2 linked regions of the Drosophila melanogaster genome follow. The protein of the gene in region 1 interacts with the protein of each later gene in a pairwise test. Each region holds a gene or a part of one and is shown on either strand. Other genes may lie near its edges.

The links.
Region 2: the proteins of dati (region 1) and CG18731 interact in a two-hybrid assay, tested with the Drosophila melanogaster proteins (one large-scale study listed by BioGRID).

What each region holds. Positions count from the first base shown.
Region 1 is NC_004353.4:389,887-399,784, forward strand, and holds the start of dati (datilografo), read right to left. Parts: upstream 5,720-9,898; 5' UTR 3,976-5,719; intron 3,525-3,975; exon of another isoform or gene 3,377-3,524; intron 1,659-3,376; 5' UTR 1,646-1,658; coding exon 539-1,645; intron 1-538.
Region 2 is NT_033777.3:29,723,350-29,728,756, reverse strand, and holds CG18731 (uncharacterized protein), read right to left. Parts: upstream 3,731-5,407; 5' UTR 3,584-3,730; intron 3,535-3,583; exon of another isoform or gene 3,520-3,534; 5' UTR 3,503-3,519; coding exon 3,143-3,502; 3' UTR 3,067-3,142; downstream 1-3,066. Other genes in the region: Kul (Kuzbanian-like), read right to left, coding at 1-652, 708-1,101, 1,172-1,355, 1,627-1,729; Naa40 (N(alpha)-acetyltransferase 40), read left to right, coding at 3,891-4,261, 4,318-4,555; Pcd (pterin-4a-carbinolamine dehydratase), read right to left, coding at 4,611-4,910, 5,169-5,319, 5,401-5,407.

The sequences.
Region 1 (9,898 bases):
AGACGAGTCGAACTGGCCATATCCGTCTGTATGAACGTCGAGATTTCAGAAACTATCTAACTAAAAGCTAGAAAGTTGAGATTAAGCATAGATCGCAGCGCAAGTTTGTTGCTACGCATCCTCTAACGCCCACAAAGCGTCCAGAACTGCCACTCCCACGCTCTTGCAAAATGTATTCATATTATTTCATCGATAAAATAAAATCGATTTGCCAAAAAACTGTTTGCCACGCCCCCACAAAAAATGTTTTGATTAATCTTCGTTTTCATTGTCTTGCCAATTTTTATTGACATACCAAAAACACTTTGGCCACGCCCCTACTTACACCTGCAAAACGTCCAAAACAGTCACACAATTTTGAAAGTTCATTGTTGCGCTCGTAACAGCTAAATATCGGGTGTACATATAGTCTAGTCTAAAAACTCGAATAGCGTTCTCTGTTGATTTTTTACTACTCTTGTTTGGACTGCATCGAATATTCGATTACCAGGTTCCCTTTAAAGTATATAGATAAGCAGAAAAATCTTCAAAACAATACCTGAATTTCATTGGCCATTTTGTCGTTATTGTATTTGATGTCGGGCGTCGTGCTGCCTCCGGATGGCGTTGTAGAGTGCTGAGGGGACTGCTGACCCTGCGAAAAGGTCTTGCTTATTGTTGTGGGTGCGGATCTTCGTCCTGCGCCCAAATTCGAGCTACCAACTGTTCCAGGGGACATTGGCTTGCACTGATGAGTCTGCAATGCTCGGCCAGTCCCTGCCAGCTGATGAGACGGCGCACTGGACTGTGCATCGTCGGTGGACACCGTACTGGGTGCTCCGAGTCCGATTATCAGTGCTCGACCTTCCGAGATTTCTCTAGCCTGTGGGTCGGCCACGTCGTAGTAGTCTCCGCCGTACTGGGACTGGGCCTGCGCCTGAACTAGAGGGTGGGGACACTCGTCCAACGGCTGTAGGGGCGTCTTCGCATCCATCTCCTGCTTGGGCTTGATCCCACATAAGGCGTTTAAGGATCCTTGTCCGTAGTTGCGAAGGTTATTTTGCACCTGATCGCCTATTGGCGAGAGGTTATTCTGCATCGCCGTGGACTTGAGGTGGACCGCCGCAGCAGCGGCTGCAGCGGCGTTAAACAACAGGTGGTGGCTACTCAGCTGGGGCGACTGCGTTCCTCGGAAGGAGTCGCTTCCATATGACTGCTGCTCTGAGTGCTGCTGCGGAATGTGACTGGACTCCGCCTTGCTGCCCACAGTTGAATTGGTGCCGGAAATTGCCATGGAACTGTTGTTGCCCACTACGCCTGATCCTGCTGCTGGACCTTCTGGTTGAACTCCGGCCAACTGCTCGTTCTCCTGCGGAACGGAGTGGTGCAGGGCGTGGTGGGATATTGGCTGTTGATTCGGGGGGGAAGAGTATTGGTGAAGCGCAGTTTGCAGACCAAACGGAGCACGCGCTTGCTGCCAGAAGTCTGCGGAGTCCATTTTAAACATTCCAAGATAATTTGTTAGGAGATGGCCAATACAGATTTGCCAGCTCGCTGGGCTTGGCCGTTTTTTTCGATCGGGAGGACAACTGCTTACGACCCTGAACACGGATCTGGGGTGCCAACTGTGCGAAGTTTGGGCCTGGTTAAAGCATCGTAATTTCATATCATTTTATTGCCTGTAAAACAAAAAAAGTTGTTAAGCGTAAAAGGGTTTTTTGAATTTTTAAAATTGGGCGGTTTTAGGGGTCAGAGTGGGCGTGGTCAATATGTTTTCGGCATATAGATTGAAATAAGGAAAACGACTTATTTAATCCAACAAAATTGAATCATTTCTTAAAAGAGTGGGTGTGGCATTTTTGGGCGGTTTGTGGGAGTTATAGTTGGCGTGGAATAGTTTTTTTTGCAACTCGATATAAATTTACAAAACTAATAAAAATATGAAAAGATAACGAAATATTTCGAATTTCAAAAAGGTGTCCGTGGCAGGTTAAGGCGCTTTGTGGGCGTTAGAGTGAGTGTGACAATATGAGTCAACAAACTTGCGCTGCGTCTATGTATTCAGAATGAATGCTTGTTTCAATCCTCATAGGTTGAGGCGGACATGGCCAGTTCGACTCGGCTATTGATTCTGATCAAGAGTATTTATACTTTATATGGTCGGAAATGCTTAACCCTTTTTACTCTACGATAGTCATGGCAGAGGTAATAAAAAAACGTTTTAACAAAAGTTTTGAAATTTTAGTCTGAATTCAACAAACTTTTTTTCTTTTCTTACTCGGGTTTTTTATTGTCAATGAGCAGAAATGTTTGCAAAATTCCAAAAGTAACCCTGCCAATTACTGACAAAAATTTTTTTGAAAAATGTTTATGCTCTTTAAAATGAATGCTAGATGATGAAAATTGGCTTACTAGATTGTTTATTATAACTTACATAATTTTGAAAATCGTGGTTTTTAAGAAAATGTTGTTTAAAGTTTTCGGACAAGAAAAGACTGCTTTGGCGCCAGTTACATCCGGAAGGCTTTCTCCAAAAATTTCTTTAGCTTTTTTGAAGCAGTATACCTATCAATTAAATCATTAAGAAATAACAACATTTCTCTAGTGCCTCAGGATGATTTCCTCTAAAATAATGGATATAAAATTGGAGTGCTTTTTTTTTAAGCCAAACCATGGAAGTAAAACCATGAAGTAAAAAAGTGTATAATGATCTAACTTTTTTTTACACGTATTCTTTCGATTAATAAATCAAATTAAGAATTATTAAATTACTTCCGTATTTTGTATATATTAAAAACGTGAGATACGCATACGTCTCTTAAGATATATATTTAAAATATATATATAAACACCATAGCTAATATATCGGTCATTCTGTTTAAAAAAGTCAGTCTACCAAAATTGCTTTTGTCCCAGAATTTAACGTTTCTGATTCAATTTATAGACAATTTGATTTAAAAGCAATCGAAGGTAGAGCCTTAATATATAAGAATACGGTTTCTTGTATAAGCCAGTTTCTGGACGACTTAAGTTACCAAGCCACATATATGTTGGCATCGGTTTTGAAAAATTAATATATTTCCTCGTAGACGTAGTTGCGTCGAAATAAATAAAACACACAGGTCAATTAGGAAACTTATTCTTGAATATCCTAGCGTCGCACATGGACACTTATAAATTGTTTGTTATTATTGGGGATGGAACATAGTCACCAAACTGTTTTAATCACTTTTTAAAGAAAAGAAACTAAAGTTCAAAGCATAAAAAAACCAAAATTTGTGAATAAAACCAATAATAAGCAATGTGTCGCGTATGCAAGTGTTCGAAAAGGAGCGAAATGTTATCTTGCTGCCATTTGTATAATTGGTGGTTTGGTGCGTATTTCGGTTGCTTTTACCTCTTTACGAGGTTTTTTTTGTTGGAAGAATACAGTGACTGTCTATATGCACGGCCTCGATTACGGTTACGATTACGGCTGAGACTTGGAAGTCGCTCCCAGCAAACAACTACAGATAACCTGGCGGCCCGCGAGTCATAGAAAAACTAATTTGGCCGCCGCCTCGGACAAGTATAAATATGACTGTTGCTGGGGGTTCAGACACGTCTCGTTTAGAAATAGAACTTGCACGCAAAGTGGAGTCGGCCTGAAGTCGAGTCATCGCTGTCGCCATCGTCGCTGGCGCAAAGTAAGCCAAACGTCTTCGTTTCAGGACTCAGCTCTAAGGCCTTCGGCAAAATATCTTCGTCCCGTCTTCGGGTTTACCAAGAAACAGCATCTTTGCTCAGCGGATAATAATGCTCTCTTTGGAATGGCTCTTAGTTGCCAAATCGTGCCACCTCGGAATAACGGTCAAGCCGGAAAACGGAAACTTTGTTCTTGTTACACGTATGTATATATATGCACGCATATGTTTATATATGTGTGTATATAAGGTATGATCGCCATTGTGACTGTAGGGATTCGATATTAACATGGAAGTTAGGATCAATAATTACCTTGAAAACAAACATATTCTCAGGCGATTACAGTACGATGACGGTTACGTCGCAGGTGATGGGCGGCATACCAATCAGGTAATGGTCCTATATTAGAAAATCCTATATCCTATTGACTTTTTACGTGCGACGGCTTTGCAGTTGAATGTCCGTGGGCTTAATATATACTTGAATTAGGTTTTTGATGTATTATTAAAAGTCATTTAAACTTAAGGCCGGAATAAGGCACACGTTACGGTGTCGCGATATATTGGTTATAAAATTCATTTATCGCCTATTTATCCCAAAACATGGAGTTAGATTGATGCAGTTTCTATTTGAATTTGTTTACATATAAATTTAAAAATTTTGTAAACGTTTGAATCACAATTTGTTACCCGATACGATCTACTATTTTGATGCCCAGATTTGTATTGTTCGGAAATACCTACATATGTACGCATTGTGACGTCTCATAATTTAATATACATATAAAAATATAATATGATATATTCCAATTTTAAAATAATTCGAGGTTCACATTTGTAACTTAAACGAATATTTAGTTTAAAATATCGTCCATTATATTACCGAAGAATGATATTTTGATTATTTATAGTAGCAATATCTTTAATTTTATATACTATTTTACGTACTGTTTACTATAATAACCACTATCTCTTCACGCTTAATCATGTATCTATACTATTATTTTTTGAGTATTGCTCTTATCATTAAAAAATAATAAGCGACTTGGTGTATAGTTACGTATGGTTATGCTAGGGCTAGCTGTAGGGTATGTGATAGTTCAAACTGTCTGTTCCGGTGTCAGTGTGTCTTCGGTAATCATTCAGGGAGTGTATTTTGTAGCTGTAGAAAATCTAAATGTTTTATTATATACTGTTTAAATTAGTATTAAGAGACTATATATGCAATTTAAATGACTATATGGTTATGTACACATTTGTGTAAATCATATAAATCATATTTTCGATTAGTAGCCTAGTTTGGACTTAAATCTTCACGTAATCATATTTTCGATTAGTAGCCTAGTTTGGACTTAAATCTTCACGTAATCGTTACTAAAACATACAGTTTTATATTGTATTAAATTTATAATTCTTTTGCGCATTCATTAATGTCGTTTTGTACTTTTGATTTCAATTTTGTTGTAAATTATATTTTTCATTTGTCTAAAAAGTAATTTTTAAATGGGTTTTCTCGTTGGTCTGTTTTTATGTTAGGTTATATTGGTTTAGATGTTATTTTTCGGATTGGTGATGAAGTTAATGTTGATGTGGTTCTTCCTTTTTGGTAATAGGTGTAGAAAACTTAGTTAATTAATGCATCTGTTCTATTGCGTTTAAAACTGAAAGATGGCTGGGTTGAGTTAGGTTTGTCGATTTGATCGTTTAGTTACGGATTCTTCTTTATTGTTAAAAACGATTTTTGGTCTATTGTGTTTGTTAAAATTATGATGATCTGAAATTAAATTAAAAGAAATATTGTTTTCATATTTTCATCTGAATTCAGTAAAACACAAATGAAATCGTCCAAGTAAGCATTGCCAAGCAATTCATTTGTGCTTTGTTTTTTTTTTTTTATCAAACAACTCTATTATTTGGTTAGTTTTTAGTTTTTAGCACAGTCCACAATCATTTTATATCTGGTTTAAGCACATTTGATAAAATAAAAATGATCCGCGAGGTCAGGACGATCCGCAGTCGGTTGTTCTACTCCATGGAATATTGCGTTTCTGAATGCCGCATCCAAAATAATTGAGAATAAAAATCATCGCCTCGGCATACGTTGCTTCCCAAGCTGGAGACTGGGATGGAGACAGCCGGGTGCCGAATTGGGGAAATAGCTGGCAGCAGCGGTGTGCTTATTATAAGATAAAAATTGTGTGTTAAACAAAAAGTGACAGCAGCGGGAGCGACAACAACAGCGAAAGCGGCGGATGTGGATTCAGATCCTTGCACTCGGACAGGGAACCTGTGCCAGCGCCGGCGCTGTTGGTAACTGCAGTTGCAGTGGCAGTTGTTTCAGCATTTGCAGTTGCAGCTCTACACTCAAAAAAAAATTGAATAAAAAAATTTCAATAAAGCACCAATTCCTGAATTACAATTCTTAAGCTCGGAGAGCTTATTGATATTCTTATTGCTCCTCAATTACACCTTGTAGGGATGACCTGATGAGGCCTCTAGTCTCTGTCTAGCCCTGCCCGTTCCCTTCTCCGTCTAAGGCGCGGGATATGGCTTTCTGGTCTTTTTTTCAAGTGTATTAAGCTGCATGCTATTGTTGCCCAGCGCCCATTCACTCCACGTGAGTCTGTGTGCGTACAGTGTACAACATATATGTATGTCTGGCCCATGCCGCTTTCATATGCGTTTTCGTTGCATCATCCCCTACGCCGCCCTCTCCAACTGATAACTCTCAAACAAGCAGGCGGAGGGGGGCTGTTGCACTCGTCGTTGGTCGTCGGGTCCCGTCAGCGCTGCACTTCCGCAGTAACATCCCTTATGGCAGCGTTGCAGCGTGATGACCACTGCAACCACCCAGCAAACCGACCTCCTCCCTGCTGTCTTGCTGCAACCACAGCACAGTCCGTTCTGGTCGGTGGAATGCAAATTTGTGCATGATTTAATGTCTACTTCAAGGCCTCTCTGGCACCTCCTGGCCCTGTTACTACCCCTGCCCAGCTCCTGTTTCTGTCCACGTTCAGCCATCTCCCTTCCGCCGCCGGACAGCCAGCCAACTGTTTCTGTCTAGCTCGAGTTTTGCGCTGCACTTGTGCATGTATGTGCGATATGGCTGCATTTCTGGTCTTCGTCACGGTGCGGCAGTATGCATTTTAATGCTTATGTGAAGTTCTTATGTACAAACACGTACACAATCAAGTGGGCGGCTCGCAAAGCACATAGGCATCCGGAAAACACTATTGAACCCTACCTTTTCAAAATGAATGTGCAGCCGTGTATGCTGCAGCATATACATATGTACATATTTAGGTAACGTTAGCCGCCACCTCTGCTGCTCAATCGATTTTGGTCTGTGCTTTGGTCTGTGGGAATCGACCTCTATCGATTTTCTTTAATATTATATTTATTTATGTACACACATACATGCATGCATTCGCAACAATTCGTGGCGTGGAAAAAAGCGGATACCTAGGGTATATGTATGTACATAAATATCTTCTTGCAAATTTGAATATTGTTTTAAAAGTATACACATGCTCAGTAAAAAAAAATTACAGGAAACCCACTATTTTTTTGTTGAAAATTATGTGCTATTCCCATAGATATATTTTACAGCAGTCGTACATGATTGATAAATACCTTATAGTATAGTACATAGTATCTTTTGGTATTTGGCTGCTATCTTGGATAGTGATCGAAGAGGACTTTGACGCCTTTTGGTGAGATAGTAGACAAGGCTACCATGAAGTCGCATTCACATCATCTCATAAAAGAGATCATAAACCCGAAATTCTATCAAGTCAGTCTAAATACAACTAGTCAATCCGCATACATATCTACATAATCTAAGGTTCAATCGGTCGACAGCTACGCATGAGCTTTAGGCAAAACCTAGGGTCCCGCGGTCTTAAAAATGGGCTTACAGTGTACAGCTAAATACAAGGACAGACCGAGCATACCAAATGTTCAAACTCACTTGACTCAATTGGTTAAGCTGAGAACTTGTGCTCAGAAAACGTGTTGTTAGGTTGGCTCAATTACGCACGTCAAACCCGGTCACGCTTACCTCAAACTGTCCTGATAGTACGGAAACACTTTTAGCTTTCCTTTTAGCATCCTAACTCTCAAGCAAATATAAAAATGATGGCTAGTTTTTCAAGATGTCCAGCAGTGCAATGCAAAAGAGATAAGCCGACCTTCGGACCACTAATACTTTTCTTTCTTGGCATAGTCTAACTTAGCAGTACTAAGTTATCTTAATAAAAGTAGCGGTCTCGAGCCAAAAGTTTTTAGGGTATAATATAATGCAGGCCTATGTATCTTTACTTTAGAAACTGTATACTGAGTGTACCAAATGCACTTTAGCATATGTATGTGTTGCATGTTGAGTGTGTGTTTTGTGTGCACATGCATGGTAAACTCATAATTGGTGCGGGTTCGGTATTTGTGGGCGAACGGTCATAAGGCAGCACTTCCACTCCATGACTGTGGCGAGCCTGCACGAATAATACTTATAAATTAATAAGCATATTCACATTGCGCGCATCCTTCCCATCTCTATTCTTGCCTATGTACGTATGCCAATTAGGGCTTATACATGTATATGGTACAAATATAGATCCGAATGGTTTTAAATCTCTTGCAATCGTTAAAACGAAATATCCATTCACTAATCAAGCAGACAAAATGTCCATCCAAATCGATCAAGAAGCCCGCTTTTCTGTCGTTCTGCTTATAAATGCTAGTCTGAAAGGCGGTTCAAGCTGTGGTAGTGACGTCGCATCAATAGAACACGAAGGCGGTTAGTCAATTTGAAATTTTTTAGAAAATAATATGAAATAATATATTATATAAATAAAAAAAGAATTCCCCTTCACCGGACGGTGTGTAAAATCAGTAGAAAAGTTGGTTGTAATTGAATACAGAAATAACTTGAAAGATAAACATTTCTTACACATATACTCTGAAAAGCTCCAAATATCAATCAAGCCCATAGTTTAAATATTTGTATTATTATAAACAGTACGCAACAACAAGATTATCCCTGTTTACTCATTAAGTAAAGTCCTCCCACCCAGCATTTTAAACCACGGCAAAGAAAATTCCGGTATACCACTTTCTCCTTGCAAGTACTAGCATATGTAATCAAATCGGATAATATTACGCATTCGGACTGTACAGCGCTGCCAGCAGCCGTGCAATACGTAAATTATATTTGTTTTGTCATAAATAAATGCTAAGTACAAAGAATGCAGCTCCGCATCTGTTTTTGCGTCCATATACTCATGCGCCTACTTATGTGTATACATTAAATAAGTTATGCGAATGTACATATGTATATAGCCACACATTCCAAACTGCGGGACGGTTTTTTGTTTGCTATGTGACAAATGTGGCGTGTATGTTCATGTGTGATTATTTATATACATGTGCATCAGCTTCGGCTACTTTTATTTTTAAGGAAGTCATTGGAAAGTAATTTAAGGTAGGTTTTAAAATAATATAAATCTATATATAATCAGTTCTTACGGCTTAAAATGTAATATCTTTTTTCACTTTAATTATGAGTTTAAGATTAATCATAAATTTTTTTTCTCTTTGCATTTTTTTTTATTAACATATTTACATCTTTTTATGGAAGTCTTGAAACTCGTAATAAATTGTTCCAAAAGATTTAAAAAAGATTTTACCGGCGTTTTTGATCTGCGTCTGTTGGTCTGTTCATGAAGCCTTTGTTTTAGTGCCCTGGGCCCATTTTTATTTTATAAAGCTGCTCTGTTACCATTAAAATAATAATTATTTAAGAGCAGTATTAATCTAAGACAAAAAATCGTTTTGAAATCGAATTAGGACATCGATTTGCTATCAAAAAACCGGAAATTTATAAGTTAATAAGTTATTATTTTCTTTAAACACAATTGGTGACGCACGCAAAATGATGTGTTCCGAAAAATGGCATTTATGGGAACATGAACATAAGAATAAATTGCCGTATGTATACAGGTATTTGTATTTGAGGGCTGACTGTTAAGTACATAGTAAATAGCAATCCTTATATGTAAATGCATACGTATACATACATACATTGCGTGGGCATATTTTAAATAGAATGCTTTGGCAATAGTTGTGCATGCTGTGTGCGTATCATTATATACATATATTAATTCATACTATTGCATTTAAATGGAATTGTGTAAATGTAGTGAAATTAACTAAGAATTAAGCACTACAGCAAATTTAAA
Region 2 (5,407 bases), on another chromosome or scaffold:
GATTGGGTGCGAATATGATCTCCGGATTGTAGTTGTTCACAATGATGTTTGGCTTCTTGGTGGCTCCGTTCTTCGTGATGATCTCCACATGCGTCTTGTGGCTGGGCCGGTCGTTGCCATTGTTGTTGTTTCCCAGAAAGAGCGTCGTCCAGTTGGCATTGAAGAAGTTACTGGGCAGCTCGCGGGTGCCATTGTTATTCGGCTCCTCGTAGGGCGTTCCGAATTCCGGTTCGATGGGTCGGTTGTACGTGCTTACAATAATGTTCTTGTGTTTCGTGTACAACTTCCGCACATTGTTATTACTATTATTATTATTATTGTTGTTGTTGCTGTTATTGTTGTTACTATTGCTGTTGGCGTTGTTGTTGCCGCTGCTGTAGCTGCGACTTCCCTCGCCGAGATTGGAGGGATTGTAGTTATTTACAAGTATGTTGCGGTTCGACGTGGGCTTAGTCAGAGTGGCCAGGAAGCTCTCGGTGCTGCGCACAGTGCTCCTGGTTGTGGACGTGGTCGGGTACTTCCGCGGCGACTCCTCGCTCTTGTCCTCTTCGGAGGCCAGGACGCGAAAATCATCGTTGTACGGCACCTCCAAGTCCAGCGGCAGGGGCGGATTACGATTGTACGTGGGGGCCGGAGCATCCGACATGGCCAGCTAAAAGGTGAGATTCATTAAAATGGGATTTAGAGTGCATTCTTCGGATACTCACCTCCTCTGGCAGCCACCGCTTCTTCCTCAGCTTTTCGCTGGCGCAGTGCGTCTTGGCGGGAGTGGCGGAGTTGAGTCCTCCGCCGGTGAACTGCTGCTTCTGCATATTTACATCGCTTAACTTATAGACTATGCTGTGGACACCGCTCTCGGCTAGCTGCTGGGAATACCGATGCGCCGGCTCGATGTAGTAGTGCTCCGCCTGGGTCTCTATCGTGCCGTCCAACAGGTTGTCGCTGGTGAGGATCGCCTGGACGTGGGCCGCCTCGTCGTCCTCCAGGCTGCCCGTATAAATGCGCGACACATCGTAGTCGATGGGGCCCAGAGTGTTCTCGATCTCCACATCGTGGGCGAACACCGAATGCGGCTGTTGACGCAGCACCAAGCGGAAATCTCTGCGTGAGGAAGGCGGTTTTAGGTGATTAAGTGATTACCTTTTCGGCTGGCGATATCGAGTGCACTCACCTGTCGTGGGCGGAGAAATTCAAGCGGATGGTGTGCGCCAGTCCACTCGCCGAGGGGGTCACCTCTCTCTTCTGCCGGAAGCGAGCCTGCTCCAGGTGCCTGACCTGCGCCGCCTGCAGCACCTGGCGATCGAAGTTCGCCGCCTCCCAGTGCTTGATGTAGGGCGTCAGCCTGTGGGTGTAGCCTGTAAGAGGAAGGGGGCATTTTAGGGGTTAGTGGGAGCGGGAGAAAGCTGCCAGCGGCGATGACAAGATGAAATTTCTCTTAACTAAGTGATGAACAAATTTGTGGGTAGGCTATAGAAAGCAACTGATTAAGAGGATTACAGTGTACTTAAGAAAACAAATATTGATACGATGATGATATACAAATAGCATATTTGAGGAAGCCTCTTTGTAAAAAATCAGATTGTTTAATTTTTTAGATTTTGGGTTATCTTTTAAAGCCCGACTCACCTGGCAGCTTGAGCGGCGTGGGAATGGCCAGGATCTCGCCGGGCAGCCACAGGAGCCAGAGGAACAGGACCTGGAGCCCGAGGAGGCCCAGCAGCCAGCTCATCGTGGGTGCGATCCGGGTGCGATTCTAGATGGCCTGGACTACTCGAAGGTTGTGTTTTTCGAACTCGACCCCTGCTGCTGCATCACATCATTTGTTATTCGTTATTTGTTATTGTTGTGGGATTCGCTGCGAGGAAGTGGCTCCAATCGGTGACATCTCCGCGGTAACTGGAGGAGTGGAAAAGTGCAGAATGCGGAGTGGAGAGGTGAGAATCTAGAACGGTTATGATCGCGAGATGATTGCATTAACGGTCCGTGGCACAAAGAAACTGCATTGCGTATACGCCGTGTGCTCGCATCTCCAAGTGGCTTTCACCTTTTACGTGAAATCTTTTGTTCAGCTCGAAAATCTGTGTATTTTGTTCTGTTTTTTTTTCGCTGTTTTGCGTCTTTTTGCATAAATGGCAAAAGCAACAAACGGCAAGAAGAAGAAGAGCGTCACAGCATCTCATTAGCACCTCACACACATACACACACGAAGCAGTGTCGCTCGCATTGGTGTGCCCGTGAAAAATACTGTTAGTTAGGCGCTCTCTTCGCCACTGCTTCCCTCTCTTACGCGCAAACCTATTGGCCAATGAAATTAAATGCATTCTTTGACAACCGTTTAATTGGATAATTATTGTTTTTGCCCAACAATCATGCGTGTGTGTGTGTATTCTACCTGAGCTTTGGGCCAAAAAAACCCCCACTGCTCTCCCCACTCTTTCTACTCGTTGCTCGCTGTTGTTGTTGCGCTGGTCGAAAACCAAAATAAAATACACGTAAAATTCAATTAGCCACAAATTGTTGCACTCTTTTTTTCCGTTTGCGTTAATTGGATTTGCGGAATTTAGCCAAATATATTGGACCAAACACACACCACACACACACAGGGATAACCATCGACCTCCGTTAATGGCGTAAATGGTATAAGCCAGTCGCAGGTTTTTTTTTCTATTTTTTTTTTTTTTTCGTTGTTGCCACGGCCTAAAACCTGTTCTTCTGCCCAATCATCCAGGCCTAAACCGAGCGAATTTCACGACTAATCGTGCCGTTTTAGGACTTTCTGATCTGTTGATCTATGTTTTGATTAACTTATTTGCTTGGCTGCTTACTTTTCACAGTCACTGGAGCAATTGCATTACAATTGCTTTTTCTGCGCTTTTAACAACTTTTTTCGACCACCTTACCATCCACCAAGCAGTGTGACCACACCGCGCATTGACCGTTAAAATGTCAGGCTCAGAAAAATACACCTCGCGGTTGAAAAATATACCGCAAACGTACTTTGAGCTGAAGTTCTAGCCGGGACTCGAACCACAGTGCAGTGGGCCTAAAGTGAATATTCTCAAGATTGTGGAGTTTTTAGGTTTTACTTGTTACCCGCTCGTGCATTCAACAATAGTTTAAGATAAGGTAGCTTAATGATAGATTAACATTTAAGGGCTTCTTTGACCAGTGCCTGCTGCTTTTGGATGTCCGTTCTCAGTTTATCCGCGTTATTTTCCAGCTTCGCATAGCATTCTTTTAACTGATTTCGTTGGGTCTCCAGATCTCCCACGGTGGCCGACAGTTTCTTCACCTTCTGATCGTACTCGTCGAACATCTGCCACCATGTTGAAAGGGGAAGATTCTCTGGTTCAGTCATGAAAGCGTGCTCCAAGTCCAAGTTGTCTGTAGATCCGCTTATCGTAGGCTGATTGACCTCGAACGTTTCCATGTCCGCCAGCATTTCCTCTACACTGGGAGCCGTGGGTGGAGGCTCTACTTTGGGCCTGGACTTCCTAAACATCGTCTGTTTCCTTGAAACTACAATTTAGAGAACTGGAAACGTCAGCACTTGTTGAATTGGGGATTCAATATGTGGGGTTACCTGATGTATCGAGTCTCGTAGTCTTAGTGATATTAAGGTTAATTATCGTACTAACAATTTAGTCTAAAACCCGTATATAAGCCGTAAAATGGAATTCAATAAATTTTCTGCAATTGTTTACAAAACAGTGGTAAATAATGAAGTGGCCAGTAATTATTATTTCAAAAATACCAATTAAAGTTAATCTGTGTAATCGATAGCAGTCTCTATATAAGCAATAATAGTTTGTTTACCACTGTGTGCCATCCCTAATTTGCGCGGCATATTTTTAGTCGAATTGCCATTTTTACAAAATTTTAAGCAAACAATGCGGAATCAGGACGATCTAAGTCAGGGCGCCAAACAGAGATTTGTGGAGACGGCTGCCAGGGCCAAGAATCCCCTCGAATCTCTGAGCTACCAAAGCTACAAAGCCCCCAGCGGAGAGGAATTCAAACTCATCTGCCGAGCGAAGTCGGATGCGGACTCCAAACTGCTGAAATGGGCCTTTAAGCTGGCCGAGACGAACGTGGGACCCTATTACAAGCAACTCAAGATGGGCTGGCAGCCCAAGATCAAAGCCGCCGAGCTGAACAAGAACTGGGCTCGCTACTTGGTGGCCCAGAACGAAAAGAAGGAGAACGTGGCCTACGCAATGTTCCGCTTCGACATGGATCACGGGGACTGTGTCCTGTATTGGTGGGTATTCCATAAGTAAAGCCCTTATGCATTAATTACGTAGAACTTCCTTTCAGTTACGAAATGCAAGTGGCTGCAGAGTATCGTAGAAAAGGCCTGGGAAAGTTCATCATGAGCACTTTGGAGGACTGCGCTCGCCTGTGGCATCTGGAAAAGGTCATGCTGACCGTTCTCAACAACAACGAAGCCTCCATTTCCTTCTTCAAGCAACTGGGCTACGTCAAGGACGAGATCTCGCCAGATGTCCTGGAACAAGCCGACTACCAAATCTTTAGCAAATCGATGCTAAGCTGAGTATTTATTGGACACCGAAGATTATAGATATTTAGCAACTAGTATAACAATGCGTTTATTTCAACAAATTGGCCGTGGTCTCCAAGTGCGTGGCCATGCGAATGTCCTGCGAACTGAGACCGCCCACGTCGTGCGTGGACAGGGTCACGTCCACCTTGTTGTAGCAGTTGAACCACTCGGGATGGTGGTTGATCTTCTCGGCCAGCAATGCCACGCCCGTCATGAAGCTGAAGGCCTGGTTGAAGTCCTTCAGCACGAACTGCTTGAAGATGGCGTCGCGCCCCTCCACCAAAGTCCAGCCGGCGTCCAGGAGGGGCTGCAGCTTCTCGGCGCGTTCCTGTTCGTTTAGTCGTACCTAAAGGGCAGCGAGCAACAAGTATGTGAGTGTTATTGATTCATACGATATATATACAAAATAATTTGTGAGCGAAAAACCTCCATTTCTGGCCAAAATCACAGTGATTCTATTTGTTAGGGCATAAAGCACTTTCCGAAAGTCCAAACCTGTCCTTGGGTGGTCGATTGATTTCAGTTGGAGGCGATAAGGGAACCACTCGATTTCGCTGAGACTCCGTTCACCTTGATCTCAAACTCACTTTCGGCTCGTACTTACCACCATTTTGCGCTTTTTCGCTGTGATTGCGGTTGCTGTTGCTTCTGTGGTTGGGGTGTTGTGGATTCTCCGGAGATTCGCACTGCCACCAGTTGCTGCCCGTGCTGCTTCTCTCGCTGCTGGCGAATACAGAACTGAGATTTGCGACAGGCTGCGCGAAAAATAAAGCTCAGATTTAAGTTTGGTATTTTTGCCCCTCCCTCCCCTTCCGCACATTCCACCTTTTGAATACCTTCTAC